Linked DNA regions of Rhinolophus ferrumequinum. The protein of the gene in region 3 interacts with the protein of the main gene of each other region in a pairwise test. Links are inferred from orthologs where the notes say so. Each region holds a gene or a part of one and is shown on either strand. Other genes may lie near its edges. The genes, in order: CSTPP1, CCNC, PNMA5 and ZMYND19.

What was found.
Region 1: the proteins of PNMA5 (region 3) and CSTPP1 interact in binary tests that used the Homo sapiens proteins (3 or more experiments, as listed by UniProt). The two-hybrid records come from large-scale screens. The link is inferred for Rhinolophus ferrumequinum from reciprocal best matches to the Homo sapiens genes PNMA5 and CSTPP1.
Region 2: the proteins of PNMA5 (region 3) and CCNC interact in binary tests that used the Homo sapiens proteins (3 or more experiments, as listed by UniProt). The two-hybrid records come from large-scale screens. The link is inferred for Rhinolophus ferrumequinum from reciprocal best matches to the Homo sapiens genes PNMA5 and CCNC.
Region 4: the proteins of PNMA5 (region 3) and ZMYND19 interact in binary tests that used the Homo sapiens proteins (3 or more experiments, as listed by UniProt). The two-hybrid records come from large-scale screens. The link is inferred for Rhinolophus ferrumequinum from reciprocal best matches to the Homo sapiens genes PNMA5 and ZMYND19.

Annotation. Positions count from the first base shown.
Region 1 is NC_046294.1:14,138,743-14,145,985, reverse strand, and holds the start of CSTPP1 (centriolar satellite-associated tubulin polyglutamylase complex regulator 1), read left to right. Parts: upstream 1-4,225; 5' UTR 4,226-4,359; coding exon 4,360-4,438; intron 4,439-7,243. UniProt on the Homo sapiens protein: Regulator of the tubulin polyglutamylase complex (TPGC) that controls cytoskeletal organization, nuclear shape, and cilium disassembly by balancing microtubule and actin assembly.
Region 2 is NC_046286.1:54,286,917-54,293,878, reverse strand, and holds the start of CCNC (cyclin-C), read left to right. Parts: upstream 1-3,950; 5' UTR 3,951-4,289; coding exon 4,290-4,321; intron 4,322-6,962. UniProt on the Homo sapiens protein: Component of the Mediator complex, a coactivator involved in regulated gene transcription of nearly all RNA polymerase II-dependent genes.
Region 3 is NC_046284.1:7,195,722-7,202,875, reverse strand, and holds the start of PNMA5 (paraneoplastic antigen-like protein 5), read left to right. Parts: upstream 1-4,132; 5' UTR 4,133-4,266; intron 4,267-4,920; exon of another isoform or gene 4,921-4,931; intron 4,932-5,145; 5' UTR 5,146-5,281; intron 5,282-5,745; exon of another isoform or gene 5,746-5,970; 5' UTR 5,971-6,031; intron 6,032-6,223; 5' UTR 6,224-6,348; coding exon 6,349-7,154.
Region 4 is NC_046295.1:83,566,140-83,573,473, reverse strand, and holds the start of ZMYND19 (zinc finger MYND domain-containing protein 19), read left to right. Parts: upstream 1-4,331; 5' UTR 4,332-4,541; coding exon 4,542-4,592; intron 4,593-4,775; exon of another isoform or gene 4,776-5,134; coding exon of another isoform or gene 5,135-5,140; intron 5,141-5,726; coding exon 5,727-5,786; intron 5,787-6,537; coding exon 6,538-6,644; intron 6,645-7,238; coding exon 7,239-7,334. UniProt on the Homo sapiens protein: May be involved as a regulatory molecule in GPR24/MCH-R1 signaling.

The DNA.
Region 1 (7,243 bases), on a different chromosome or scaffold from region 3:
TGGAGAGAAGAGCTTATGCCAAAGCAAGAGGGTGTGAAAGGTATGTCTGGAAACAGTGAGTAAGAAAGTGTGGCTGCAGTATTAAGTATGTAGGGAAGAGTGAATGGCAAGGTGGCTAGAAAAGTAGGTTGGGAGCAGACTGTGAAGGGATATACTGTATATCTGCAGGTTCAGGAATTTTGCTTCATCCTAGTAATGGTGAGTCAGCAACACTTTTTAAGTAAGGAAGTAACATGCTCATATTTGAATATTCGGGCAATAAACTCTTGTCACAATGTAGAGAATGGCTTGGGGGAGGAAAAAACAGACAGAGACTGCAGCTTTTCGTCCTAAGATTCTGAAATTTGGGGCTTTCAGTTCATATCCTAAGTTTATTTAATGATTCCTAGTGTATTCCATTCCATCCTCCTGAACTAATTCTCCTAACTTGTCTCTATGCTTTTTGTTGAGTTAGTTGCTTTTTTTCTGAGCATTTCTTAAGATTTAGTGATCTGTCACACGCAATAGTTAGGTGTAGGAAGGATATGCCAGTGCTTTCTGATTGATTTTTAATGCCCTTCTCAATGATGCCTTGCATTTTGCTGGACTTTTTTTTAATGAATTTGTTTTGTGAATTGCTTCCTCTGAGGCAACCATAAGTCCTATGAATTGGATGGGCTTCGTTTTCTAGACTTTTAATTTACAGGGGGAAATTCTATTTATGGTATTCAGGCATTTATTCTGTCAGGAATTGTGCGTGGTCCTAATATTTAAAAGATGAATGAAGACTGTGTCTGCCCTCAAGGAATTCACAATCTAATGGGGATATCAAATAATTATTTTTAAATGATATAAGTGTTTATCAAAGCGTATAGTCTAGGACAGAGGAAGGCACAGCTAATTTTTGTGGGCTACTAAATCGGAAATCTTCCTCCCTTTCAAATGACACGAAAGTGTAATTCCTAACTCTTTTTGCAGCATTCGAAAATATAAAATAACAAGAAGGTACAAGTCTGTAATTGTCTCTGAGCTGTAGTTCAATTTAAGCCATGTCCTCTTACTCACTTTCTCATAATGTATTAGTTATTCTTAACTGTCCAAGAGTTTGTGGATGTTTCTTTTTCTTTGCAAATTCTCCAGTCTGTTGACCATGGCTGTCCAAAATGCCTTGTCTGTAAGTAGCATTTTTAATGTAAACATGTTAATCCTATACAGTGGCATCGAATTTAGTTGCTGCTTTGCTCTTAAGGAGGGTAAATCTTTTAAGAAGAGCCTAGTAGCTCAGAATGAATTTTATGACCTGCATTTCTTAGCTACTTCGCCTTTAGCATCTTTTCTGCTTGATGAGCTGATAAAAGCCTGTCCTAGTTTCTTGAACCTGTTTTGTAGCAATAATTCAGCCAGCCTGGATTTTTTCTTTCCTTATTGTTTCCTTGAGGTTTAAAACTATTTAGTACACTTATGTTTGCTTTTCTGTGGTTTCAATTCCAGGGAAGATTTTCTTCCCTAGCAATCTCTTCATAGGTTCTTGGCAAAGCCAGAGATGTCTATTAATTTTCTATTTATAATTAGGAATTATAATCTGATAAATTGACATATCAACATATCCTCTCTCGTGGGTGTCTCTCCTATTGTTTTCAATTTGCTGTTTCCATTCCTTATGCTATAATACTTTAACATCTCATGCCCTCTCTGTGTTTTGATCAATTTCATATCACCTGCTTATTTTCAGTATTGTGGAGTTGTTTTTTGATTTACTAGATGCTTCTTTGTTTAGGGAAATTTTTCAGAAATATGATAATTTAAGGACTTGAAAAGCTCATCTAAATTGAAGGCTGACTTTTTGTTCTTTCCTTAACATTCAACAGGGTCACAAAAATACACTTGGCTTTAACGACTCTTATGTATTTCTACTCTCCTTAAGACTGATGTTTTGGCTGTGTCACTGAAAAATATCTTCCACCACTGATGTGTTGCCAAAATCTATTATCATGTAATCTATGGCAGAAGAGAAATCTAAAAGTAGTAGCTCTTTCTTGGGAAAAACAAACACTATCTGGAAGGTCATCACTTTTGCTTAAAGAATATTTTAAAGATTTTTCAAGCCACATATTGGGTTGTTTATGTATTTTCAGATTATAATATGTGCCTATTATAGAAAAATTTTGAGAATACAGGGAATTATAAAGAAGAAAAGTGTAAGCAGTCAGTAATTCCACCACCAGTAAAAGGCTACCTGTTATTTCTGTGCAACCCCAAATTTTCTTGCAGGCTTAGTCTAGTAACCACCTACCATTTTCTGAGTCTTCTTCCTCAATAGACTGTTCAGGACAGTAAGAGTGGAAGACTGACTTTAAATATAAGGGTCCTTAGGATTTTTATGGAAGGGATGGAGCTGTAGGAAAAACCTACAAATTGCTCCAGAGATGACATCTTGTTCTTATTTAGCTTTCTTTGAGTCATTAACAGTCGGGCGCCACTGGTGCTGAAACTTGTCATTATTATAACCGCAAATGGGTTAATGCCCAAACAAAGCTATATTCTTGGGGCTGGTTCCCAGCTCCACCACACAGACCTCAGCAGCAGCACCCTCCAAGTCCCAGGACAATGCTCCACAAATAAGAGAATGTCAAATGGTCAGCCTGGACTCAAAAGTCTCTTCTTTTATCTGGGAGCTTCCAGTTGCTGGCAGGGCAGAGCAAAAGGAAAAATAAATAAATAAAAACCAAGTCAACAAACCCTAAAAAAAGAGGCTGTGTGGTTTAGTGGTCAGACCACTAGCCTGGAGGCTGGGATAACTGAGATACAGTTCCAGCTCTCCCACTGATTGGCCGGATGATGCTAGACAGGTCATTTTCCTGATATGTTCCTCAGTTTTCCTACTTGGAAAAGGAGAAATGCCTTAGAAAGTCTTTATGAGGACAAATGAAATGATCTGCAAATAGCTTCAGGTTGCTTGGAAATAAAATGAAATTGTAATCATTAATGATTACTATCCTATTACATTATTAATAATGTAGTAATAAGCCATGGGTGTGTAAATTATGAAACTGCCATACCCTCAAACTGCACTGGTTAGGGAAATGGGGAGTGGGTGAGGGCGGGGAAAGAAGGAAGTTTTTTTAAATCAAATTTGCAGGACTTCACATCAAATATCAAATTAGTAAATTCATTACCTCAAGATAATATATGCTGTTCCTAATTTGGGTCTGTCCCTTTGTTCTTACCACATCCAAACTCAGAGTGACTCACAGGAGCCTAGAAACGAGACATATACAATTTTAAGGGAAAGGGAGAATTAGGAGTTTTGAAGCTCCTGCTGGAGGAGGCTAAGAATAGACCACTCAAAACACAAAGAAGAGAACCTCCTCTTCCCTTTTCCTCCCAATGTAGGTGGTCCACTGGTTTCCCAGTCATTCCTTTGATAGCATGATTTTTGTTTTCTTTCTTTTCTCAAAACCTCACCTTGTTTTGGTTTTTTTTGGGGGGGCGGGCGGGGGCAAAGGGACTAACTTAAAAAGTGAGAACAGAATCGCTTTTTCTAATAGGTTTCAATTGTGACAAGTGCTACAGACCTCTAACCTGTTGTTGGGAGTGGAGGGGAGCCAAAAAGAAGGATCTGGACTTCTTGGAACTTGTTCTCCCCTCTTAAAGAAGTGAGCAATTTTGGCATATGAGGGGAAAAATCCAATAGGTGTCCTGGTTTGTGTATCCCATCCTCTCAAGAAGTGAAGTGTCTTGGTAGGAAAAAAAGAACGACACCTTGGAAGGGTACCCAATAGTAAGGGATAGGAGTGAAGGGAAGAACTAAAGATAAAGAGGGATTTGAGAGGGATCGTCAATGAACTCTTAGAGGATTTGATCAGCACCTTCAGTGTGTCCAGGCTAGTTAGGGGCAGAAAAGACATTTCCCTGGCCTCACGGAGCAGCCAAGATATACGCACGTGAAAGCATTTTGTAGCAACTGAAGGTAATCAATAATAAAGAGAGAAAAATAGGTAACGGAATAGTAAGTGTTTATGGGAATTTATGGGTGGGAGCCATTGTGAGTTAGGATAACAGCTGTATAAAGCAGGAATAGTTATGAAATTCAGAAATCGAAGATATGGAGAGCTGGCAATAATTCTTCGACACTGGGAAATATGATGGATTCGAAAGAACTCTCCACCTCAAATTCCTCTAACACCAACTCCTTTACAATAGGGGCCCTAAGAAGCCTCGACTGCCGCGAAGCGACCGCTTCCGGAACTAGTGTGGCCAGCTTGGCGTTGCGATACGGAGAGTGTTTGCGTGACACACCTTCCTCCCCCTGCCTCTCCTCCCGCTGCGTGGGTGCCATGGCAACGGAGAGAGCGGGCGACCTGGATTCCGGAAGCTGGGATGCTAAAGCTTGGAAGCTACCCCGGTCAAAGGATGCTGAGTCCGGAGCGCCTAGCCCTACCGGACTACGATTATCTGGGTAGGAGCTTCCTTCAGCCCCGGGGAAGGAAAGAAGTGCAGAAGAATTAGGCCGGGGTCTGGGTGGGAACGGATCGGGGTGAGATGGGGAGGGTGGGGAGGGAGACGCGGTCCAGGGCCTGAGCCTGTAAGGCCGAGCGAGGTGGAAAACAGCATCTGGGGAGTAAAGAATATCTGAAGTGTACGAGCGGGAGCTCAGGCAGTGTGGATTGTGTCCAAAGTGGGTTAGCTGGGAGCTGAGAATTTGGGGCCCTTTTGGAATGTTATTGATATGCAGGTAGTGAAGTAACCTTGGAACCTGAAGTGCCAAATCAGTCATCCTGTGAATAACATTTTGTTATAGCGGCAACTACTTTTTGAGCGTTTCTTTTTCGTTAGGCATTATATTAAGCATTTTACATGTATTCTTTATTGAATCGTCAAAACAGCCCTAGGAGGAAATATTGTGTTTTTTTCCATTTTGCATTCGGAGAAACTGAGGCTGAAGAGGTAAATTGCATAAATAAGGCCACATAGTTAGAAAATGGTAGAGCTAGGATCAGAATCTAATTTGCCCACTCCAGAACCTGAGCTCTTGTCCACTAGGGCTGTAGCTCTATTGAGTGTCTTAAGTGTGTAAGACTTTTAATGGATGAAAAAAAGGATGTATGCACACAAATTTTTAAAAATTAATAGACCTTGGGGTAGCCGTTTAGCTCAGTTGGTTAGAGAATGGTGCTGATAACACCAAGGTTGCTGGTTCGATCGCCGCATGCGCCATTGTGAGCTGTGCCCTCCTTAAAAAAAAAAAAAATTGATAGACTTTTTTTTAGAGCTGTTTTAAGATCACAGAAAATCGAGCAGATAATTACACAACATTCACATGTACTCCCTCCCACCTCCTCAGAGTTTCCCCTATTATTAATATCTGGCATTAGTGTAATACATTTGTTACAATTGATGAGCCAATATTGATACATTATTATTAACTAAAGTCCCTAGTTTACATTAGGATTCTGTCTGTGTTGTTGGTTCTATGGATTTTAACAACTGCATAATGTCGTGTATCTGCCATTATAGTATCATGCAGAATAGTTTCACTGCCCTAAAAATATCTGTGCTCCACCTACTCATCTGTACCCCGACCCCCAACATTTCGCAACCACTAATCTTTCAACTGTCTTTAAAGTTTTACTTTTCCAAAATGTCACAGAGTTGGAGTCAGACAGTATGTAACCTTTTATAAATTGTGAAAGAAGTGGCTTCTTTCATTAAACAATATACATTCAAGGTCCCTCCATGTTTTTTCCTAGCTTGATTTCTTTTTGTCATGGAATAATATTCAATTTTATGTATGTACTGTACATATTTTAAAAAAATTTTTATTGGGGAACAGTGTGTTTCTCCAGGGCCCATCAGCTGCAAGTCGTCCTTCAATCTAGTTGTGGCGGGTGCAGCTCAGCTCCAAGTCCAGTTGCCGTTTTCAATCTTTAGTTGCAGGGGGTGCAGCCCACCATCCCATGCGGGAATTGAACCGGCAACCTTGTTGTTGAGAGCTCGTGCTCTAACCAACTCAGCCATCTGGCCACCCCTCTGGAAGCTCAGTGGCAGCTCATTGTTTTCAATCTAGTTGTGGAGGGCACAGCCCACTGGTCCATGTGGGAATCAACCCAGCAACTCTGTTGTTCAGAGCTTGTGCTCTAACCAAGTGAGCCATCCGGCTGCCCTGTACATATTTTTTAATGACAAACAATTCTAGTTAAAATTTCTGAATTGGTAATGTGGAAGCTGGATTAAAAAATATAAAGAAGTTTATAGTGAAAAGTCTCCTCTCACCTCTTGTCCCCTGCCAGTTCTCATTCATACTCAGCCCCGACCAGTAACCACTATTACTGGTTTCCTGTGTATCCTTCTAGAGTTTATTTTATTATGTACCTAAGGGACAATACAGTGAATACTTTTTTCATTTACTATATCTAAGAGTAATTTCTGTATCAGTAGAGAGCTTTTTCATTCTTTTTATTTTTCAGCTGCATAGTATTTAAATAATTTATTTAATCGATTTTCTGTTGGTAGACAATATGTTGTTTTTAGCCTTTTGCTATTACTAAAAATACTGCACTGAGTAACCTGTAATTTCGTTCCTTTACTGGTATATCTACAAGGATCAGTTGCACAAAGTGGAATTGACAGGTCAGGGGTATATGCATTTTAAATATTGATAGTGCCAAATTGCCCTTCCTAGGCATTGTACCATTTTACACTGCCACCAACAATATAAGAGCATGCCTGCTTCTCCATAGTCTTTCCCAACAAAATATAACAAACTTTTGTATATTTTCAACCTAAGTGACATATAGTTCCAGCGTAGTTTTAATATGCATTTCTTTCATGAAGTTAAGCATCTTTTCGCCAAGTTTAAGAGCTGTTTGGTTTTTGAAAGCTATATATATATATATATATATATATATATATATATATATATTATATATAAAGATAGAGGTATATATTTTATATATATATATACATACCTATATATATGTGTATACACACACACACACACACACACACACACACATATATAGAGAGAGAGAGAGAGAGAGATTAATTGACCACATCCATTCATCAGCCAAAAGGGCATACTTATATGACAGATAAGTTTGTATCCAATGAGTAATAATATCAGTGTCTAGCAATACCTAGACTTTTGCTAAGGACTTTACCTATTTTATTTATCCAGTACTCAATGAATCTATGAAAAGCTTAGTCCATTGTTCCTTTCCTTGGGTATTTGCCATTTAAATTATATGTCTCAAAAGCTTGGCGT
Region 2 (6,962 bases), on a different chromosome or scaffold from region 3:
TGCCATGTGAGAATTCAGCAAGAAGGCAGTCTTCTGCAAGCCAGAAAGATGTTTCTCACCAGAAACCGAATCACCAGGTGCCAGGACCCGGGCTGGCACTTTGATCTTGGACTATCCAGTCTCCAGAACTGTGAGAAATAAATGTTTGTTATTTAAGCCATACAGACTATGGTATTCTGTTATAGAAGTCTGAACTGACTAAGGCAGTTATACAACTAGCAAGCGGCAGAGCTATTAGTTGAACTTGATCAGTGTAGTTTAGAGACTGAATTTCTAACTAGTACACTTTACCATAAGTTAGAGGTTTACTCGTCTTAACTAAAGTATCCAGGAGTTAAAATAAACGAAGACATAATGAATGAATATAGAGGAGATGATATTTTCACAACGAAGACTGTTAGTACCCCAGCAAATTACAATAATAATTTAATTAAAAGTGAGAAGATGGTCTTCACTAATAGTGTTTGGGAGGAGAAACTTCTACTACAAACCTGAAATAATGTGTCTATAGTAGTTTAGTCGTTATAGTTCTATTGAAGCTGTACAGTTGGGTGAAAAGCTCATTGCCCTGGGAATCAGAAGAAATGGATTCTAGCTGTTCTTGCCACTAACTAGGTAAGAGAGCTTGATAAAGCCCCTAAATTTCTAGGCTCTGAGAAATAGTATTCGTGGTGCTGGAGAAAGCATTGTAAAAAGGAAAAAGGATAAATATTTTTTTGTCACAGAAGAATCAACATTTGTATCAAGAATTTATTAATCACATCCTTATTTAAAAAGCATAAGATAAATAAAAAATTACAAGGCACAAGATTGATTAATAGATTCCAGTAAGTTTAAATCACACAAGTATGAGGACTGAGAAACAATAAAAAAAAAAAACCTAAAACTATAAAGAAAAGTTAAAAAAAAAAAACAACACAAAAAGCTATCAGCAAAAAGAAACAAACCTACATGGCCTATCATCTTTTGCATCCAGATAAGTTGATATCTAGGCATTTTAACAGCTTTTGTACATTGCTGTATTCCACCAGATATCCTTAAATAAAGTTAGCTTTTGGTTCAAATCATTCAATTCAACCTGCCTTCTGGAGTACCCTCAGTGACAATTTAGTCTAAAAATAGTAACGCCAAAACTTCAGACCCCTGACTTGAGTGGCCACTGGGAGCACCAGCGCTGTTGTGCATTTGGAATTCTGGGTGGGAAGCAGAAACCAGGTTGCAGGTGGGAAGCATTTCTATGTAATATTTCTGGTTAAATTGCCTAGAACAGTTCACAGAAGGACCTGAATCTTCAAGGCTGTAGTAATTTGTTATGATTTCTTTTTGCATTCTAAATACTTACTTTTCAACCTGATTTTATGTCCATATGTTACATTTTTTCTTTAAGCACCCTACTCCCCAAATACCATTGCCTGCTGTGCCTATGTGTTATGCCCTCAATGAATGGTGATACCAAGATGAAGGAACTCAGTTTTGTGGGAAGAAGAGTGCAGAATTAGGCATGAAACAATGTTTGTCTAGTGAAAGAAATAGTGTAATGGGGGCACATAAAACAAAACATTTAATAATACTGATTTGTCGCAGTACCCTTATCTTCTGGATGATGTCAGGCTGACAACCTCTGAGAGAATTAAAGAAATTCTGAACCTTTATGAAGTAGCCTAGTGGCCTAGAGCCTGGTCTTTCTTTCCTTCTTTCTTTGCTTTTTTTTTAGTGCCAACCTCTTTATTACTTTTTATCTTTATTAATCTTATTGGAGGTGACATTGGTTAGTAAAATTATATAGGTTTTAAGGTTTAAGTGTTCTATAATACATCATCTATATACTGCATTGTGTGTTCACCACCCAGAGTCAGTTCTCCTTCCATCACCATACACTTTGTCCCTTTTCCCCTCTTCTACCATCTCCTCCCCCCCTACCCTCTGGTAACCACTAAACTGTTGTCTGTGTCTGTGTTTTTTTTTGTTTGTATGTTTATCTCGTTCGTTTGTTGCTTTCAGTTTTATATGCCACATGAGTGAAATCATATGGTTCTCAAATTTTTCTGACATATTTTGCTTAGCACAATAATCTCAAGATCCATCCATGTCGCAAATGGTGGTATTTCATCTTTTTTCATGGCCGAGTAATATTCCATTGTGTATATGTACCACATCTTCATTAAATAATCATTTATTGAAGAACACTTTGGTAGTTTCCATGTCTTGGCCACTGTGAATAATGCTGCAATGAACAGAGAGGTACATGTATCTTTATAGATAAATGTTTTCGGACTTTTGGGGTAGATACCCAGAAGAGGGATTGCTGGGTAATTCTATTCTTAATTTTTTGAGAAAACTCCATACTGTTTTCCATACTGGCTGCACCAATCTGCATTCCCACCGCCAGTGTATGAGGGTTCCTTTTTCTCCACAACCTCTTCAACACTTGTTTTACTTATCTTGTTGGTAGTAGCCATTCTAACAGGTGTGAGGTGGTATCTCATTATGGTTTTGAGTTGCATTTCCCTAATAGCTAGTGAAGTTGAGCATTTTTTCATATATCTTTTGGGTTTGGTGTTTCTTAAGTTACTACCTTTCAAACTTTTTTTGACTGTGATCTGCAGTGTAGCAGACAGTAGTGTTCATCAAATATACTACCGGCTCCCCTACATTTCTCAGCCTCCCTTGCAGTTAAGTTAGAAGCATGTTCCTATTCTGGACAATGGGAAGAGAAGAAGTGATTGTTGTTTCAGGTTTAAGTCTCTTGACGCTGATTAAGAGCCAGTGAGAGAGTCCTAGGCATTCTCTCTAGAAAGATTTTAAGCCTGGAGGCAAAGAACCAAGAGAGAGTAGTTGAAAGATGGAAACATACTGCATTCTTGAAGATCAACCATCAAGGAGAGAAGTCTAATCCACATCAAACTTTATAGGACTTTATGGAAGTGACGTGTGACATATTTTTGTTAAGTTACTAAAAATACATTTCATATCTTGAGATAGCACCTATATAACATGTAACTGAATCAAAAATTTTATTTTATTTAAATACATTTTTTTAAAATTGGGGACTATTGGGGAACAGCGTGTTGCTCCAGGGCCCATCAGCTCCAAGTCGTTGTCCTTCAATCTAGTTGTGGAGGGTGCAGCTCAGCTCCAAGTCCAGTCGCAGTTTTCAATATTAGTTGCATGGGGCACAGCCCACCATCCCACGCAGGAATTGAACCAACAACCTTGTTGTTGAGAGCTTGCGCTCTAACCAACTGAGCCATCCGGCTGCCAAGAATCAAAAAATTTTAAATAATATCCTTATTTCTAACATACCTGATAATTTAAAACTTAATTTAGGAAAATGCTTATCATTCTCAATTTCACCACCCCCTAATTGGTCTCCACCCACAGTGTGAAAAATACTGTCCCAAGCTACCTCAGAACACTGACCTATCAGTAACTTTTAAGTGTGCCTAATCTTTGGAAAAATGATTATAAGTTTTACAATAATTGCAATATCACAATGATAACAGAAATGGAAAATACAAATTATTTCATCTTGTAAAATTAAATTATTGCAATTTTGGCTGTATGTTTCTATTTGGTACATATATGTGAATATGTATGTGTGTATATACATATACATGTAATAGAGAAATGCTTTTAGCTGTTCTGCAAAACTGGTGGTTCTCTGGCATTAAAAAAAACAAAACATTGTTACTCTAAATATTTCTGCCTCACTCCAAAAGAACTCCATGAAAAACGTATGCGGCTTGGTGCCAGTAGGTTTTGGTAGTGCCTTGAGGCCAAAATAATCTTTCTCTTTCCAATCACAGGAGAAAGAATTGAATTCATTAAACCTTTAACACAATGCCACCGTGCCGCTTTGGAAGCGTGTAAAATGGAAAAACAAAACCTGAACTGGGTTGCTTCCCAACTGCCTGCCCACTCGCGAATTGGCACTACCCCCAGTAGACCAAACCACGCGGGCTCCAGCTCTGGCGCGAAGGTCTCGCGAGAGCCTAGTTCCCAGGCACTATCTCAGCGCGACCACAGGCTGTCTCCTCCCAGCCGGCTTCCTCCGCCACGGCGGGGGCGGGCCGGAACTTTTATCCATAGGAACCGCTTTACACAGTAGAGTGTTGCCGGCCGGCGTCAAGAAGAATTGGGTGCCATCCTCTTCCTCTTACCGTCGCCGCCGCGGAGCGGAGCCGAGCCGATCAGATTGAGGAGCGCGGTTACCGGGCGGGCTGGGTCTATGGTCGCTCCGCGGGCCGCTCCGCCGGCTGGTGCTTTTTTATCAGGGCAAGCTGTGTTCCATGGCAGGGAACTTTTGGCAGAGCTCCCATTAGTAAGTGATCTTCCGTCTTCTCACCGTGGGCTGGCTCTTGGGGGGCGGTGCGGACGGGGCCTGCGACTCCCGTTGGCCTGGATCCCGGCCCCTGTCCCGAGTGCCGCGGAGTCTCCCGGGAGGCGGCTGCGGCCGGAAGCGGGATGCGTCTTTCTCTGGCAACTCCTCTCTCCCCGCCCCCTGGCCGGGTTTGGAAGGTGGGGAAGATCTGTTAGCGGGAAAGGTGGGGGAAGGGGGTTCGGTCTCCGAGGTAGGAAGGTTCGGGGTTTTAGTTTCGTATTTTTGCATTAGCTAGGCCTGGAAGGGGGTGGGGTAGGATGGGGTGGGCACAGGTATGGGAAATGTGACCCAGTTCTGGACTGTGAGGCTGGCTCTTCAGGATAGTTGTGGTTCATTTTTTTGCCTCGGATCTCTTCAGTGGGTTGGCATCGCAGTCTTTTGTCATTCACTTTCTGTCCTGAGTGGATTTAATATTATTTTGAGGAGAGGGGGAGCCAGACTTATTTCTTCACACTAACTGATTCCTGCCACTACCTTATGCCTACGTGGAGGGTTATGTTGGTAAGGTACAGGGCAGGTGCGCTCAGAATTTATCCATTTCATTGGTCTGTGCCTTATATTTTAAGTGTGTATTTTCCATTGATGTTGCCTATTTCTTCAACGTTTTTTAGAAGTTTTTGTTTCTGTCAGTGACCATGGAAGAGCTAGAGTAATATTTAAAATATTTTCCCCTACATCCATTTGGTTAAGCAGTCAGGAAGGTGGGTGACCAGACTGAGTGAACTTTGACTAGATTTTCCAAGTACAGTTGGAAGACGAACGCAACCTGATAAAGATTATATCTTAGTGTAAATAATTTTTAATGTTAAGAGCATTAGTAACTGTAATTTAGATTTGATTCTGTGAAAAAGATGGATTTCTGTTCATTCTTTTAGCCCTTTGCAGGAGGAAAAAAGGAACAATGGGCTTGGAAATTATTTTCAGAAATCAAGTTTTCTTCTTGCTCTAGAGCGATTCTGTGGAGATGAAATGCTATAGAAGCATTATTTCTGACCACATTTTTCTTTTACATTTCACTCACTTGAGTATTTGCTTGGGCAAAATTAAAATAACGAAATTTAGGCAGTGGAGAAGAGGTATTCTGATGAACTTTGAAAGAAGGTGCGAGAATTGATAGGTAGCTAGCTAGCTATTGATGGTCAGAATTTATGTTTTTCAACTTAAAAAAAAAAGGTCCTCCCGCCTTTTGATAAGCATTATGCCACAGTGAGAATGCTTATCAAAAGAGGGGCAGGATCTATTTTATAAAAACAATTTTTCACATTTCAAGTGTAAAATTATTATAATATTAAATGTGCTGTTTTGAAACGCCTTGCCTTCCAATTCAAATAGTCCTGATGGAAGGGGGCCACTTGACTTTCTCAAATTCCTTGACAAGCATGGAGTCCCTGCTCTGTAAAAGGTAACAAGTATGAAAGACAAGACAATTCTGGAAAAACAAAATAATTATGAAAGCCATTGTTTTAGGTGATTTTGGTGAAAGGAAAATTGACGTGAAATATGCTGTATTTCATGACTCTAAGATGCACATTTGAGTATTTCTGAAATCAGCATGGCATAATAGTGAATCTTAAAATCAGTGTCATCTTTGATGAAATGAGGTATTTATAAGTTTTGGTTTATACTCCATACTATGCGCTGTGAGGAAAAACTTTTAAATATTTGTGAAATTTATTTTTTTAAAAACAAAATGACTAGAGATGAAATTAATGATAATTCTGGAAAAAAAACAAATCACAGTATTTTCTAGAAAGTTGTATTAGAACACAACACATTCTTTGACTATGATGCAGTCAAACTAGAAGGACACTAAATACTTTCTAGACTGAATGGATTAATGAACAGGTTACAAAAATTAAAAATATAAAATTAACTCTGGATACTTTATTGTATCAAAGAGGAAACTGAAAATACAGTTACATAATATCAAAGAAATAACATAATGACATCAATGTATATCCATATATTGTAGCCAAAGCCAAATTTGTAATAAAATTAATATCCTGAATAACTTAGAAATAAAAATAGATCAAATATTCTACTTAAGAATATTAAAAAGGAAACAGTAAAATAAACCTAAGGAAAAAAAGAAGAGTAAAAGTAACACTGATATTAATGTATTAAAAGGAAAAAATATAGTCAGAAATTATGTAAGAGCTGGTTCTTTGGAAGGGAAAACCAAAACAGTAGACTAAACTGCTAGTTGAATCCAGGTGAAAAGGGATAATACAAAAACACAAAATTAGGAATGAAAAAGGTAAACCCAGATGTACCTTTGGGTTATCTCCATGGTAATAAATTTGAAAGTCAAAATAAATTAAGAAAGTTAGAGCGCGACTCCTTAAAAAATGCTCCAAGCCCACATTATTTCATGAGTAATTTTTTTCCCACTATCAAGAGGTCCTGATAATGAAATTGTTCTAGTTCACATGGGAAGAAAGAAAGCTTTCCAGTTTTCTTTATGAAGCTACAATACAGTTTTCTTTATGAAGCTGGTAAAATCTAGCAAAAGTAGTACTAAAAACAGTCTCACTTTTGAATATTGATGCAAACATTATAAAGTATTACCAAGTGGAATCCA
Region 3 (7,154 bases):
GGCCTGTAGTTGATTGCAAGCACTTTCAGGGAAGATTCAGTGTAAAACAAAAAATTATCTGTGAATGACTTAAAATGCCCATGGTTAAAGATCTGATGAGAGTTCATTACAAAAATCATGCAATTGACAAATTTGGTTGTTTCTGTGGCATGCAACACTTTAGAAGTCCAAGGCACTATCCATGACTATGGAGCCACTTTGTGGCATGCAACATTTTAAAAGATAACTAGAATTATGATTGATAATGCTATACTGTTGTTTAATATCAGGCAAAGCAGAACCAGGACATATTCTGGACAGTGACGGTATTGGCAAATCTCTAGGAACTTCATACAATTTCTGAAATATTTTTTTATTTTTATTTTTAAAATTAGTTTCAGCTGTACAAAACAATGTAATAGTGAAATATTTATATTAATAACATTTTGCCCACACGAATTTAACTTAGGGAGGGTTAGGCATCTCTTCTGATTGACAAAGCCTCCCATGCAATTCAATATATCAAATAAACCTAATTATTTCTAACACCTGTGATTTTCCAGGGTCCCTCAAAGAAGGTCGAGATCAAGAATACATCAATTAGGATTTGAGTTTAGGAAGGCAAAATATCAAAGTTGTTGGGAGGTTTGAACACTTGGCTAAATAATATCATGTGTCAATGAGAAACACTCCTTGGCTTTCCATTTAACCAAAGTGACAAAACATTTTAAAAGAAAAGATAGGAAGTAACGCAACTGAAAAGAACCTTAGTTCTTTCAAAACTGAAAAGGTTTGGTTCTCAAGCAATTAATGACATGATAAAGTCAACATGAAGGACAGTAAATTATTCTAAGACACAGAATCTTTGCTTTCTAGGCTGATTACTCAGAAAGCAAAGCAAAACAAAACAAAACCTTGGGTGGCTGGATGGCTCAGCTGGTTAGAGCACGAGCTCTGAACAACAGGGTTGCCAGTTCGATTCCCACATGGGCCAGTCAGCTGCGCCCTCCACAACTAGATTGAAGACAAGAAGCTGCTGCTGAGCTTCCAGAGGGGTGGCTGGATGGCTCAGTTGGTTAGAGCGCGAGCTCTCAACAACAAGGTTGCCGGTTCAATTCCCGCATGGGATGGTGGGCTGCGCCCCCTGCAACTAAAGATTGAAAACGGCGACTGGACTTGGAGCTGAGCTGTGCCCTCCAAAACTAGATTGAAGGACAACGACTTGGAGCTGATGGGCCCTGGAGAAATACGCTGTATTATATATATATATATATATATATATATATATATATATATTCTATCTATATATATATAATATATATAAATGCATATATATAGCAAAGCAAAACCTTTTACAGCCTCTTACTAAGAGCCTACCAATAATCTAAGTTTTTTTTCTCATTTTAACAAGGAAAATCAAATTCTAGTTTCGCATCAGTGTACTGCTTAATATTACAGCTCATTTTAAAATAGCTCATAAATAAACCCATTGAACTTTAGCCAGTTATGACCACAAGAAATAAAATTTATTTTCTACGAACCTTCTACAACTTTCATTTTGATTCAAGTTTTGTCCTGTTGGCATAAAAAATGTCCAAACCTGTAGATAATTTTTATAAGAATTTGTTTGAGCCAATCTGACAACATATGCCAGGAAGAAAGATCTTAAATGCTCCAGAGACTAACAATGTTGCAGCTTCTTTTATGCATTTGAAATTAAGGAGGGAACTAAGGAAGATTACATGGGGGTGGGAGGAAGCAAGGCCAAGATTGGATTACAGGAGAGGAAATAAGATTATGTGCTCTCTTGAGTGTGGTTTTGCTTCTGAGGAGTCTGAAAGGGGGTATTTCAAAGGTGTGTTGACCTAGATGCACAAGAAAAACGGACAGGGCTTGCTTAAAAACTAAAGAAGTTTTTTTAGATTCCTGTTTGGGCACAATTGTTCTTCAGCAGAGACCTCTTTCTTCCAGATACCGGCACCATTTAATAGTGATGCCATGGTAAGGAAATAGACTGGAATGCCCTGGGACTAATTCTCTCTGGCTTTTAGGCACTAAAAAGAAAAAGAAAAAATTCCATCAGGTCTGAATAAGCCAATTCATGGACAATTATGAAGTGAGAAGTTTCAAGACAGACACCTATTTCCTAACATTAGGTATGTCAGCGAGTAAGTTATAATTGGGAAAATAAAAGAGATGCAAATTTATTTGTAAAAAAAAAAAACTGAAGAAGTTACAGGCCTAAGGCATGACTGACTACCCACCATGGCCTGTCCAATTAGGAATTTATGATCACATCACCCTGTGAAGTTCCTTTCCATAGGACCCCTTTTTTCATCCATAGTCCTACGCTTTCGTCTTTGTCATTCTGGAACAGCCAGTCATTTTACTTTAGGACAAAATTAGTCGTTGTCCTTAACAAAAACACATCCTGCATACCTTATATACTTAATTTAGTATAAGGTTTTAAGTTACCTAAAGATCTTGAAACCTTTAGGGCTGACATACTACATATGAAATATAATTACTGTTAAAATAAAGTTTTGTCAGAATAAGTTCACTTTGAAATAGTACATACACATACATACACAAAAACATACATATAAAATAAATAATCCTGGCAATGTAATGTACAGCATGGTGACTATACTTAATAATACCATATTGCTTATTTGAAAGTTGCTAAGAGAGTCAATCTTAAAATTTCTCATCACAAGAACAAAAATTGTAACTATGTGTGATGATGGATGTTAACTAGACTTATTGGGGTGATCATTTTGCAATATATACAAAAATTGAAGCATCATGTAGTACACCTGAAGCTAATATAATGTATGTTTTCAGGGGTATTTCTTAACCTCCCAGGATCACAGGGCCAGCACACCTCTTTCCATGATTATCACCCTTTGTGATACCTTGTAATACCTATAATACCAAGTGGCTCAGTGGTGGTTTCATGGAACCACAGTGATCTGGTATGATGAGAACCCTCAGGTAAAATGTCCCACCTGGGGTCGACTCTCTGACAGCACCAGGTAACCATCTTTTCTTGGCATGGGAGATAGAGTTAACAGACTCTTAATAGTGTGTTCTTATTATGTAAGGCCTATTGAGGCCTTCTCAGACATAGCAAACAAATGTCGTTGAAGGGGAACAAACATGTTGCTCAGTAACCTTTCATTTAAAATTTTATTTCCTTTAAATATTTTTATTAAAGCATTATAGGACAGCCTGTTCACTTGTATCCCTAATAAAGGAAAAGAAATCTATTTTTTCACCAAAGGCGCATAATTTCTGGATCTGAAAAGTAATTACAGGCTTTAGAGCCTTGGTACTCAAAGCCTAGTCAGAGATCTGTAGCATTGGAGTCACCCAGCTTTCGAGAAACACAGACTCTCACTCACCCCATCCTCCTGATGCAAACATGCATTGTTATCAAGACCACTTTCCATTGTGCTACCTGTAGCCCCCTAACGCCCATTGTTGAACAGCGCATTTGGGTCCTGAAGGCCCCAGGGCAAATGTTCCCTGAGTGGAAGAAACCTTTCGAAAAGGGCAGGAAGCAGTTTGACTATTAGGTGGGTAATGGGTAAATCCACTTGCTCATAAAGTCAAGAGAATAATGGGAGAATGGAATCCTTGAATCCTTCTCTGTCTCTTGGTGAACTCCAAAAATTTCCATGCCCTTGGGAAATACAGGGAGCAGCTGTATTGTTGCCATGCTCCATTAGAACACAGCGGAAGAAAAAATAAACAGGGATCAGGACTTTTCTTTAGAAAGCACCCTCTGGGGCTTTAGTTTTGCACCCGGCCCTGTGATGACTTGCAATTTTCAAATTTGAGGAGGGGCACTGGTGATTGTTACCGCACAGCTCGGGTAGAGTACAGAAGAGACAATGTAACAAGAGCCACAATGGCTCCTGGGCCTGGCGTTCCACGTGGCAGGCCTGGTGGTCTCTTTGGAGATAACCCAAGGCCGGAGCAGTCCAGCTCTGCACTGCAATGTACACTCCCCCGCAGCTTGATTTGAACTCTCTGTCCCCACCTCCGCCAAGTGCATCGGGAGAGGAACAAGGGCTGAGACAAGGAGCACCCCCTTTCGAAGGGGGAGGAGGGTACCATTCTGCGATGGCGCAGGGACAAGCAGGCCGTGTGCCCCTGTTGGGGGCGCCAGGGTTTCTTATTTTATAGCCTCCTCCCCCTAACTCCTGGCCCAGTGTGCACCGGGGCTACAGAAGCGTGGTGGCTGTGGTTTTCTGGCGTCTGGCCTGCAGACATCTCCAGTAGGTAAGGAGTGGGGCCCTGAGCAACCCAAACCGCAGGACGTTGTCCCCAGTGGCCCTTGCCGTCTTCCTTGGCATCACAGGGGGCCCCCTGGAAATGGGATCCTACTAGATCAGGCTTGGCACCCCGCGGGCTCCCTGCCATTTACAGGCCATAGCAACCAGCCTGGGAACTGCAGAGGAACTGATTCCATGCCTAACCCTGCCCAGAGCCATTGCAGTCTGCATATCCAGAACAAATGGCTCTCGGCCTTGCTCTGGAAGGAAAGTGGCTTCAGCCCTTCCTCTCCTGGCCCCCGCCAACATCAACTGACCAGATGTATTCCTACTACAGAATGGGGGGTGTTTGAGGTAGGGGGTGTGTAACGGGTGGAGGTTTTAGGGAAGGGGGTTTAGTGTGGGGGAGGGGAGTTTAGGGGAATGAGAATAGGAATAGGAGTTGGGTTTAGGTGGGGGGCAGGGCTTGGATTGAGCTGTAGGGGTGGAGCTTGGTGTCAGGGGTTGGGCTTGGGTGGGGGCGGGGCTTGGCGTCAGGGGTTGGGCTTGGGGAGGGGCGGGGCTTGGTGTCGGGTTGGGATTGGGTAGGAGTGGGGCTTGGTGGGGGGGCTTGGATCAGAGGTTGAGCTACAGTGGGGGTAAGCCTTGGAAAGGAGTGTGACTTGGCAGTAGGTGGGTATGAGTGGGGGTATGAAATTGAGGGTGGGGACAATAATCTTAAAGTGGGATTCCTCCTGCTATAACAGTGGACCCCAGTGACAAGTTTCTTGTATCTCTGCACCAGGGTACCTGTGGCCAGCTCTGCAAACTTAGAATTGGCACAGCCTGAGCAGGGGCACGTGGGGCAGAACCCTATCAAAATACCTCTGCCTTGTCTTGGGGACAGGTCCAGTGGAACAGTACCCCCCCCATACACCCTGGGGCCAGGAACTGCCTGACTGTGGACAGCTGGAGAGTTGACTGAGTGTTGAGTGCCTGGGGCATCCCTGTATCCACACCAGCAGAGGGGCCTACTCAGCAAGGTGAGTGGTGGTGAGGAGGGCCTGTGTTGGGAGGAGCCTCTGTAACCCTGGCAAAGATCAGGAGGGGGAGGGGCTGCCTGCCAAGATGTACAGACTCTGCAGGGTAGGGTCATACCTAGACAGAGAGCTGTCTGTCTCCTGAAGTGTGGCACTGGTGACCTTTTCTGGGTCCCCTTTCTGCCCGATTCCAGCTCCCACACATTTTAAAATCATAAGCTCTTGATTTTTTAGCATTCCATCCTTGCTGCCCACCCCCATCTTCCCTCCCCCGAACCCCCCCTTGTTGCTGGGACACTACATTGGTTGGAGGCCAGTGACATCACCTGTTGCTCCTGGAGGGCCTTAACCTTACCACATGACACCAGTCTGCGATAGAAACCCATGGTCCACGCTGTTCTCAGTATCCATGGCAACACTGCAGCTTGTCACAGGCTCTCCACACCCACCAGTTTCATTGCATTGCGCAGAACTCCAGCCATCTTTCTCATCTGTCGGGCATTTTCTGAGAAAGAGGGGAACTCTGCATCTCCCTCCTCCTCCCTTTGCCCTGGCAAAGAGGTGCCAGGTGCCTGAGGCCTGAACAGCCCTGAGCCAGGGAGTGGAACGTTCTGTCCTCTCTTGCTTAGAGGGCTTTCTCAGTGTCCCCAGTCATCAGGCCGTGCCTCCTGACGCTGGCCTTTTTACTACAGGCACCTGCAGCACCTGCAGCAGAGTCCTTGGAATTTGAGAAGGAACCCACAGCAGGAGGAGGTCAGCAGGGAGGGCATGAGGTGGGGGGAGCTTGGACTGGGAGGCCCCTCTACAGTCTATACTCCACCAAATGACTAGGGGAGCCCTGGGAAGCAGGGACTGAATTCCTGTGAGTGGAAGTGGGGGAAGAGAAGGGGCTCTTGATAGAGGGGACTTGGCGATAATGATGCTTTCACCCCAATTGCATTACAGGCTGTGGAAACCTCGGACACTTCTGCCTTTGTGCTTGGCATTGGCTCAGAATTCACTGAGCTGTGGTCAAACTCTGAGCAGATTACTACCCCTAGTATTAGATCAGTTCATAGAAAGTGGAAGCAATGGCCGCTGTGACACTGTTAGAGGATTGGTGCAAGGGGATGGACCTGGACCCTAGGAAGGCCTTGCTGATTGTGGGGATCCCCGTGGAGTGTAGTGAGATGGAAATTAAAGAGACCGTGAAGGCAGGCTTACAGCCCCTGTGCGCCTACAGGGTGCTGGGCAGAATGTTCAGAAGGGAAGACAATGCTAAGGCCATCTTCATTGAATTGGCTGACTTTGTCAATTTCACTACGATACCCAGTGAGATACCAGGAAAGGGAGGTGCCTGGGAAGTGGTGGTGAAACCCCGTAACTCAGATGACGATTTCATCGCTAGACTGAACTACTTCCTGAAGGATGAGGGCCGGAAAATGGCAGATGTGGCCAAAATCCTGGGGTATAGCAGTGTCACTGAGAGCGTGGAGCCAGAGGGTTCTTCCCAGTTCAAACTGGCAGTTATTCAGCCTCTGAAAGAAACCATGTGGTACCGAAAACTTAAAGTGTTTTCGGGAAATACTTTCCCAGGCTCAGGTGAAGAGAACTTTGAAGTCTGGCTAGAGCACGTCACTGAGATTATGAAGGTGTGGCAAGTGTCTATGGTAGAACAGAGGCGCCGTTTGCTGGAGAGCCTACGGGGCCCTGCCCTGTCCATCATGAGGATGCTCCTGGCTAACAATGACTCCATGACTGTGGAGCAGTGCCTGGACGCTCTGAGGCAGATCTTTGGGAGTAAAGAGGACTATAGAACCTCACAGTTTAAGTTTTTTCAGAGCTTTCAGCTGTCTGGGGAGAAAACCTCTGTTTTTTTGCTACGGTTAGAGCCCCT
Region 4 (7,334 bases), on a different chromosome or scaffold from region 3:
CATCACTTTGGCCCAAATAAGCCAGAGAGACCCTCTACAAGTGTGGACGTTCCTTATGCCGATGGGGCCATCTCCCCTCGACCTTGAAGCTCCCAGCTTTAACTCGTGTTCTGGGTAATGATCCACCAGCCTCCGCTGTCACTCCTCTCCACAGCCAGGTCAGCTCCTGACTCACTGTCACTCTGTCCAGTACCACTCTTGTTAGAATTCTTAGCAATTTCAGAATCCACATAGGTGACCCTTCCAACCTCCTGGCCTCTGTCTTAAAATGTACCCAGGATTAGTTTTAATCAGGTAAAGCGACAGACACAGAGACAGTTGCTTGCAAGTCTAGTACTTACAGTGCCACACCACATAGGGTCACGTGGGAAGTAGCAGCATGGCTCCGGAGGCAGTGGGGAGGGACAGCACGGCCCAGAGCCCATATTGTTTTCTGTGGGAAGGAACAGTGAGGCAGTGCAGGTGAGTTTGAGCCCTTAGGATGGGACAGTGTCAGCAACTTCAGTGGGCTCGGCTTGGGGCAGGCTCTACTTGTCCAGCACCTGTGATCAGATGATTAGGATGATTAGGAAATCCTGGCCCGGTGTGCGAGTTAGATGAAGGAGGTGGCTGGTGTGGGCTCTGCATTGGTTGGTTTGCTTGTGGAGGCGTGTTTGCTGTCTCTAGGAATTAGCTAGCCTGGGAGAGGCAGGCTGTCCCCAGCAGCAAGAGTCCCCAGATGTCAAAGTGAATACAGAAAATGAAAGCCATGACCAATACAGCTCTCATTACGCCGACTCCCCTCCTCCAAGAACCTTCTCCAGCTGACAGCACCTGATGGCATTGTCGGTTGGTCTACAAAGATGTCTGCCAACCACTTCTCCCACCCCTTTACTTAAGTTCACGCTGTTCCTGCCATCAGAAGGTGGGTTCCATTCCTTCCCATTGAACTTTAACTGGCAGTACTGGGATGGAAGAGATGCCATGCCAGTTGCAGGTTCTTGGGAGCCCCAAGATGCCACGAAAAATGTCTGGTTAACCTGCTGGAGAGATCGCACAGGGAGAGATAGAGTGCCCGGGCACGTGAGTGACACCAGCTCAGACTTCCTGCCTCAATTACCCCCCAGTGACTGGCTGTGCCAGTGCCATGGCCGTGTTAGCTATCGACTACTGCAGCACAAACCACCCCAGTTTCTTATTCGTTCTGAAAATAGGCCCCCGAGGAGGAAGGTGGGTGTAGTGACCAGTCCTCAGGCCTGAGCTGTGAAGTCCCATAACTTTCTACCACATTAAATGCATCAAAACAGTCACAGGCCCAGTGCAGGTGGAGCATCACAAACATACAGACAGAGCAGGAACTGGTGCTGACGACAGGAGACAACTGGCCTCACCAGCCAACAGCACAACCAACCAGTTGAGCCCAATCGAGATTCCAGAACCACGAGCACCTGAATAGTTGTTTTAAGCCAGTAAGTTTGGGGTGGTTAGTTACGCAGCAACAGGTAACTGGAATGGATATTGGTCCTTAGAAGTGACACATTGCCACTACAAAATTCCAAAGTGTGCCATTGACTTTGGAACCCAGCAGCAGGTGCACACACCTGCAGGGCAGTGAGGGCATTGCTGATGGAGGCTGGAGACAGCGTGAGCCGGGATGGATATTGACAGAAAAATGGCAAGACCGCTGCTTGTGGTAATGTGGAAGACAGAAAGTGAATCTAATGATTTTCCTGGCAGCGGCTTAAAGGGCCAGTTGGCTTCTTTCCACACAAGAAGGCAAACCAAAGGGAGGGGAGTGTTCTCAAAAACATTTGCGGTGCAGCTTTTGTCTAATGGAGTAGGTTATAATTTGATACATAGAAAGTCCACAGTTGTATTTTTAATTTTTTTTAATTGGGGAATATTGGGGGAACAGTGTGTTTCTCCAGGCCCATCAGCTCCAAGTCATTGTCCTTCAGTCTAGTTGTGGAGGGCGCAGCTCAGTCCCAAGTCCAGTCGCCGCTTTCAATCTTTAGTTGCAGGGGGCGCAGCCCACCATCCCATGTGAGAATTGAACCAGCAACCTTGTTGTTAAGAGCTTGCGCTCTAAATAACTGAACTATCCAGCCGACCCTCCAGCAGCTCAGATGCAGCTTGTTGTCTTCAATCTAGTTGGGGAGGGCGCAGCTCACTGGCCCATGTGGGAATCGAACTGGCAAACCTGCTGCTAAGAACTCGTGCTCCAACCAACTGAAACATCCGGCCACCCCCAAATCCACAGGTTTTTAAAAAGGGTTGTATTCTGCTTGAATTCAAATGGACAGACTTTGAAATAAATGAGGGCTTTGGGCCCCTGACTTTCTACAGGCAAATGGCTGGCTGAGGAAGCTACCCAGCAGCAAATATGGGCTACTTCCTATGGAAAAGGGAGGATGACAGAGGTGCAGGGCCAAGGTCCTGGAAAAGCCAAGAACTGCTGAAAACAGTAGACTAGGAGAGCTCTTACAGGGAGCAGACAATCCATGCTAAAGGAACATCGGGACAGATGCCTGGCTGCATTTCAAATTGCTATGGACCAGTGACTCCACAGTGCACTCCTCCTTTTTCAAGGGGATGTCTAGCTCTTGTCCTATGGAATGGAATGTTGGGTGTTGGGGTACAGACAACAGGCCTCTGCAGCAAAAGGAGCCACACTCAACGTGCCTTGCCCACACCGGGCCGTTTTGTGCATCATAAAACAATGGACCCCAAGCCCAGTACCTTGATGAGACAGTAATTCTGGAGGTCTTAGGAGGCCCTGAGTGCAATCTTGCTGTGACAGGGGCCGCAGGGCAGACTGGGGCAGGCTGTGCCACTGGTGCCCACGCCCCCACCAGTGAACCACACTTCCCAGAACTTGTGCTCTGCTGCACAGCCCTCCTACACTGGCTCTGGGCTTGCCTGCATGAATCGCTTTGTCCAGTGGGGTACTAGAAAGCATAATTCCATCAGAGGCCCAATAAATGCTTGCCCAATGGGAAGCGCCCTCTATGCTGTAAGGAAGTGCAGGTGTCCTGCCTGGTCACGTGGGGAAACCCTGTACAGTGAGATACGACACAGAGAGGTTATATGGAAGAGAAGTGAGGTGCTCCAGTGAATTCCCGAGTGAGTGCAACCAAAGGAGGGACCCAGCTGCCTGCCCCCTCTGTCTCCTTAGCCAGAGTGATGCATTGGAAAACTACTCTGTTCAAACCCTCCAATGGCGTCACTTGTTGGTTCACTCCCGGTTCACCCGTCTGGTCAAAATGGCCACCTTGATGTTTCAAACACGCCAGATGTGTTCCCAGTTGAGCCTTTGCCCTGACTCTTCCCTCTATGCCCACGTCTCGCGCCCTCTCCTCTCACTGGTTGTTCACGTTGACTAGTCAGCGAGGCCCTACTCTGCTCACCACCTTCACTGGGACCCCCGCCCCAACATTGATCCACTCCTTTCCCCACAGCGTTTATCACTTTCTAACACGGGCGTATAACTCACTTATCATAGGCCTTTTCTGCCTCCCTCCCTGGAAGATGAGCAAGGGGGTGGACATTTGCTATGTGCACTGGTGTGGAGGCGTTTCCGTGGGTAGTGGAGGGAGTGGACGCCAGCAGAGACGGGGGGGTAGGCAGAGGCCCCCCACCCCCAGACGTCAGGCCCTGGAGTTGCTGTTTAGGAAGGACCTGGACCAGGCTGGTCAGTGCCCTGGAAATCGCCCCGTCTCAGTAGAGGAGCTTGAGGCACAAGGAAGTTTGGTGTAGCCAGGGCCGGGGGGCGGGGCCCGTGGTCCCCACGCCGCCTCTGTGAGGAGACGGCGGGCGGCCGGGGAGGAAGGAGGGCGGTCAGGGGCCCTGCCAGCTAGCCGCATTCGGCTCGGGCCGGGCCGTCTTCGAAGTCCTGCAGGCACTGGCCACCCCAGACCCGACTCCACCGCGGCCCCGCAACTCCCGGGTGCCGTCCGTACACCGGGCCGCCTGCCGGCTGCCCGGCGGACGCCGGACCGCTTATGGGGAGCCGCAGCGAGTCCTGCCAGACGGTCCGGGGCGCGCAACCAGGCCCCTGGGCCGCGCGCAGTATCGGGGGTTGGTTGCCGGCGCGAGGCCGGGAGCTCGGAGCGCCGACGCCCGCACAAAGCTTCCCGCGAAACTGACGTAGCGCCAGGCGGCCGCGCAGGCGCCGCCCCCGGCCGCGCCCCTCCCCCGCGCTCGCCCCGCTCCTCAGCGCGCCGGCGCTCTCGCCCGCCTCCCATTGGCCGCGGCGTGGCGGCGCGCGCCGGCCGGTGCAGGGCGCGCCCCGCTATTGGCCATGCGGCGGCGGGCGGGGGTGTGTCCGTGCCGCGCCCCGCCCTCGCCTCCGCTCGCTGTGGTGCGCGCGGCGGCAGCGGCGGCGCGTGGCAGGTCCGGCGGGCGCGAGGCGGCGGCGGCCCGAGTCCGGCCCAGCCTCGTCCCGTCCGGCCGCCCGGACCCGACCCCGGCCCGCTCGCCCGGCTCGCCAGGCGCGCCGCGGCCCCGCCCCGGCTCGGCGCCTCCCGAGGGAGCGGCGCCGCCGGCCGAGCGCAGGCCTGGCCATGACAGACTTCAAATTGGGCATCGTGCGGCTCGGCCGGGTGGCCGGGAAGGTGAGCGGCGCAGGGCTGGGGGCCCGGGGCTGGACTGGCGGCGCAGGGTTTGGCGGTTGTGCGGGCGGCGGGCGGGCGGCCTGTCCCCGCGGTGGGCTGCCCTCCGGCCGCGGCCTGGGGCTCCGACGGTGCGCCGGGGAGGAGGGGGCTGTCGGCTGCACCTGCGGCGCGGAGAGCGCAGCGCCCCTGCGATGCGGCGCGCTCGCTCCTTGCCGAGGCCGGTGTGTGCGCGCCGCTCAGTGCCTTCGGGTCCTAGTGGAGCTTCGCGCAGGTTTCACGCTGCCAGCGGTGGCCACGTCTGGCCGAGCCTCAGTGGGCCTCGCCGGGGCAGGGCCTCCCTCCGCTTCTCTCCCGTACTCGGCCCCGCCCTCCGCGTGTTCGAGGCGGGGGCTTCCTAGCACCTGTGGTCATCGAGGCTTGGCTGTTTCCAGGAGCCGGCCGGCCGTGCAGCTGCACCAGCCGCGGACCTTACCCTGGATGGGAACCCTGTTCCCATCACAAGCGGCGGAAGCTTCTGGGGAGAGAGGAGCACAGGCAGTGAGATGAAGGTAAAACGGACTCAGATCCTAGAAGAAGCTTCCCAGGCGAGAGTGAGTGGTCCGGAGGCCGTTACCTGCCCGTCCTGCAGGCGGCGTGCGGCTTTCTAACTAGAAGGGTGGGCTCTCCGCAGTCCGAGGCTCCTGCTGACTTACCGACCGGTCGTGTTAATGTCCTCCTCGAAAGCTTTTGCTGGGGACAAAAAGCTAAAAAGGACAACTCAGTGAGCACCTGAGTCCCGAGTCCCGTTTAATCAGCAAGCACTGCAACCTTCTGGATATTCTGCCTCGGCCCGGGGCTCGTCTCTGCTCCAGCGACGCCGCCTGTTGGACTGGGTTTATTGGCACATCATTCAGACGCACAGCTTAGAGGCTGGCCGGCCAGTCCCGTGGCACCTCGAAGGCTTAGTCGGGTGCGGGTGGCAGCGAGGCCTGAAACCTGCTCCAGGGGTACCAGCGATTGGCACGTCCACCTGCGCAGCGGTCGGCTGCTCCGCCCCGTGACGGCCCCCTCTTAGGCTGATGGGCCGCCCCTGCCTGTTGCCAGTGCCTCCGCCAGATCCCCAAGGTAATGTTTCGAAATGTGGTTGCTTTCTAGACCAAGTACACGCTGATAGACGAGCAAGACATCCCGCTGGTGGAGGGCTACTCCTTTGAGGTAAGGGCCCCCTTCCCTCTGCAGGCCTGCTGTCCGTCAGTGCCCGGCAGGGCCGTGAGGGATGGTGCTCTTCCCTGAGATGTGAGGGCAGGACCTCGCATGAGGACACGGGTCTGTGCTGCCTGTGTCACGCAGGGCCTCCCTCACGTCCACCCTTCTTGCCAGCTCTTTCTGAAAAACAGAACAAATTGTCACGTTTGTGACTGGATGTTCAGTTGGACAGGCCCCGGCACCTTGGGAGACTGTCCCATGCCAACTTACCTTTTCTCTGGCCTTGGCCCCACTGTCTGTCCTGGTGCCCAGTGCTCCTTTCATCTTCTGAGTGCCCCACCTTGCTCTGTCTGTGTCACTCACTCCTTCCTTAGGGACACGCTCCAGGCATCTGTGGGCCAGCACCCCCATCTCTGCCCTTCACGTTTTCACAATGGTGTCTTGTGCAGGGGTTCATCTTGCTCCCGGGATTGTGGGCTTCTCGGAGGGGCGGGGATTTATGTCGCTGTGCCCACGTATTGTGCAGAGTGCTTCATGAGTGTCTTGCTTGAATTCATGAGGGTGAAGAGGGTGCTTGTTGGGGCACGCTGGCATATCCGTGCCGCGTGTCTTTGGGAGCTTCTGCACATTCCCAGGGCCCCAGGAACAGGCCTGGCATTTGTCCCTCTGTTTGTTCACGTCGCTCAGTGTTTCTAAGAGGTGTTTAAAATGTTGCCGAAAATCAGAGGCTTTCTAACAGATCTCTTCCCATTCCTCCTAGGCCAGGATGGAGGTCGACGCAGATGGAAATGGCGCCAAGATATTTGCATGTGCCTTTGACAAAAATCGAGGAAGGGGGTCAGGAAGGCTTCTTCACGAGTTGCTGTGGTGAGTATTTTTGAGCTATTGTTCCATCCCTGGGTCTTGCATGAGTCCTGATGTGTGTGGAGCCAGTGGAGCCACCTGCCCTTGTTTACAGATAGTGCTTTTGCATCGTTGCCACTAAGTGAGGAATGAGTGACTACACACTGTGGCACTGGCAGGGGAGCCTAAAGTTTTCAGCCACCAAGTGCCCTTTCTGCTCCGGTGTTCGTTCTGGGGTACACAGTGTCCTCTGGGGGAGCATGGGGCCTCGTCCCTCCTGGGCTCTTGCTGGGCCTGTTAGGGGGATGTGGGGAAAGGATGGCTTTCCTCGGTGTGCTCTGTGGGGTCCAAAACGCGGGGGGCCGTGCACATGGGGCATTTTCTAGGCCGTGTGTTAGATGGTTTGGGACTCCAGCCATGGCCTCTTGCAGCCTCGCTGACCTGCCAACGTGGTCTGTACGTTTGAGCCACAGACTGACACACGTGGAGTCCTCTGGGCAGCCTGCTCCTGCTGCGTCCCCTACACGGCCGTGTGAGGAGGGTCAGTTCAGACCACATGGCTAACAGGCTTGGGTAGGTCTGGGAGGTGGGGTTAGAGACCTGTCTGTCTGCCCCCAGGGAGCGGCACCGAGGGGGCATCGCCCCCGGCTTCCAGGTGGTACATCTGAATGCGGTGACGGTGGACAACCGCCTGGACAATCTGCAGCTGGTGCC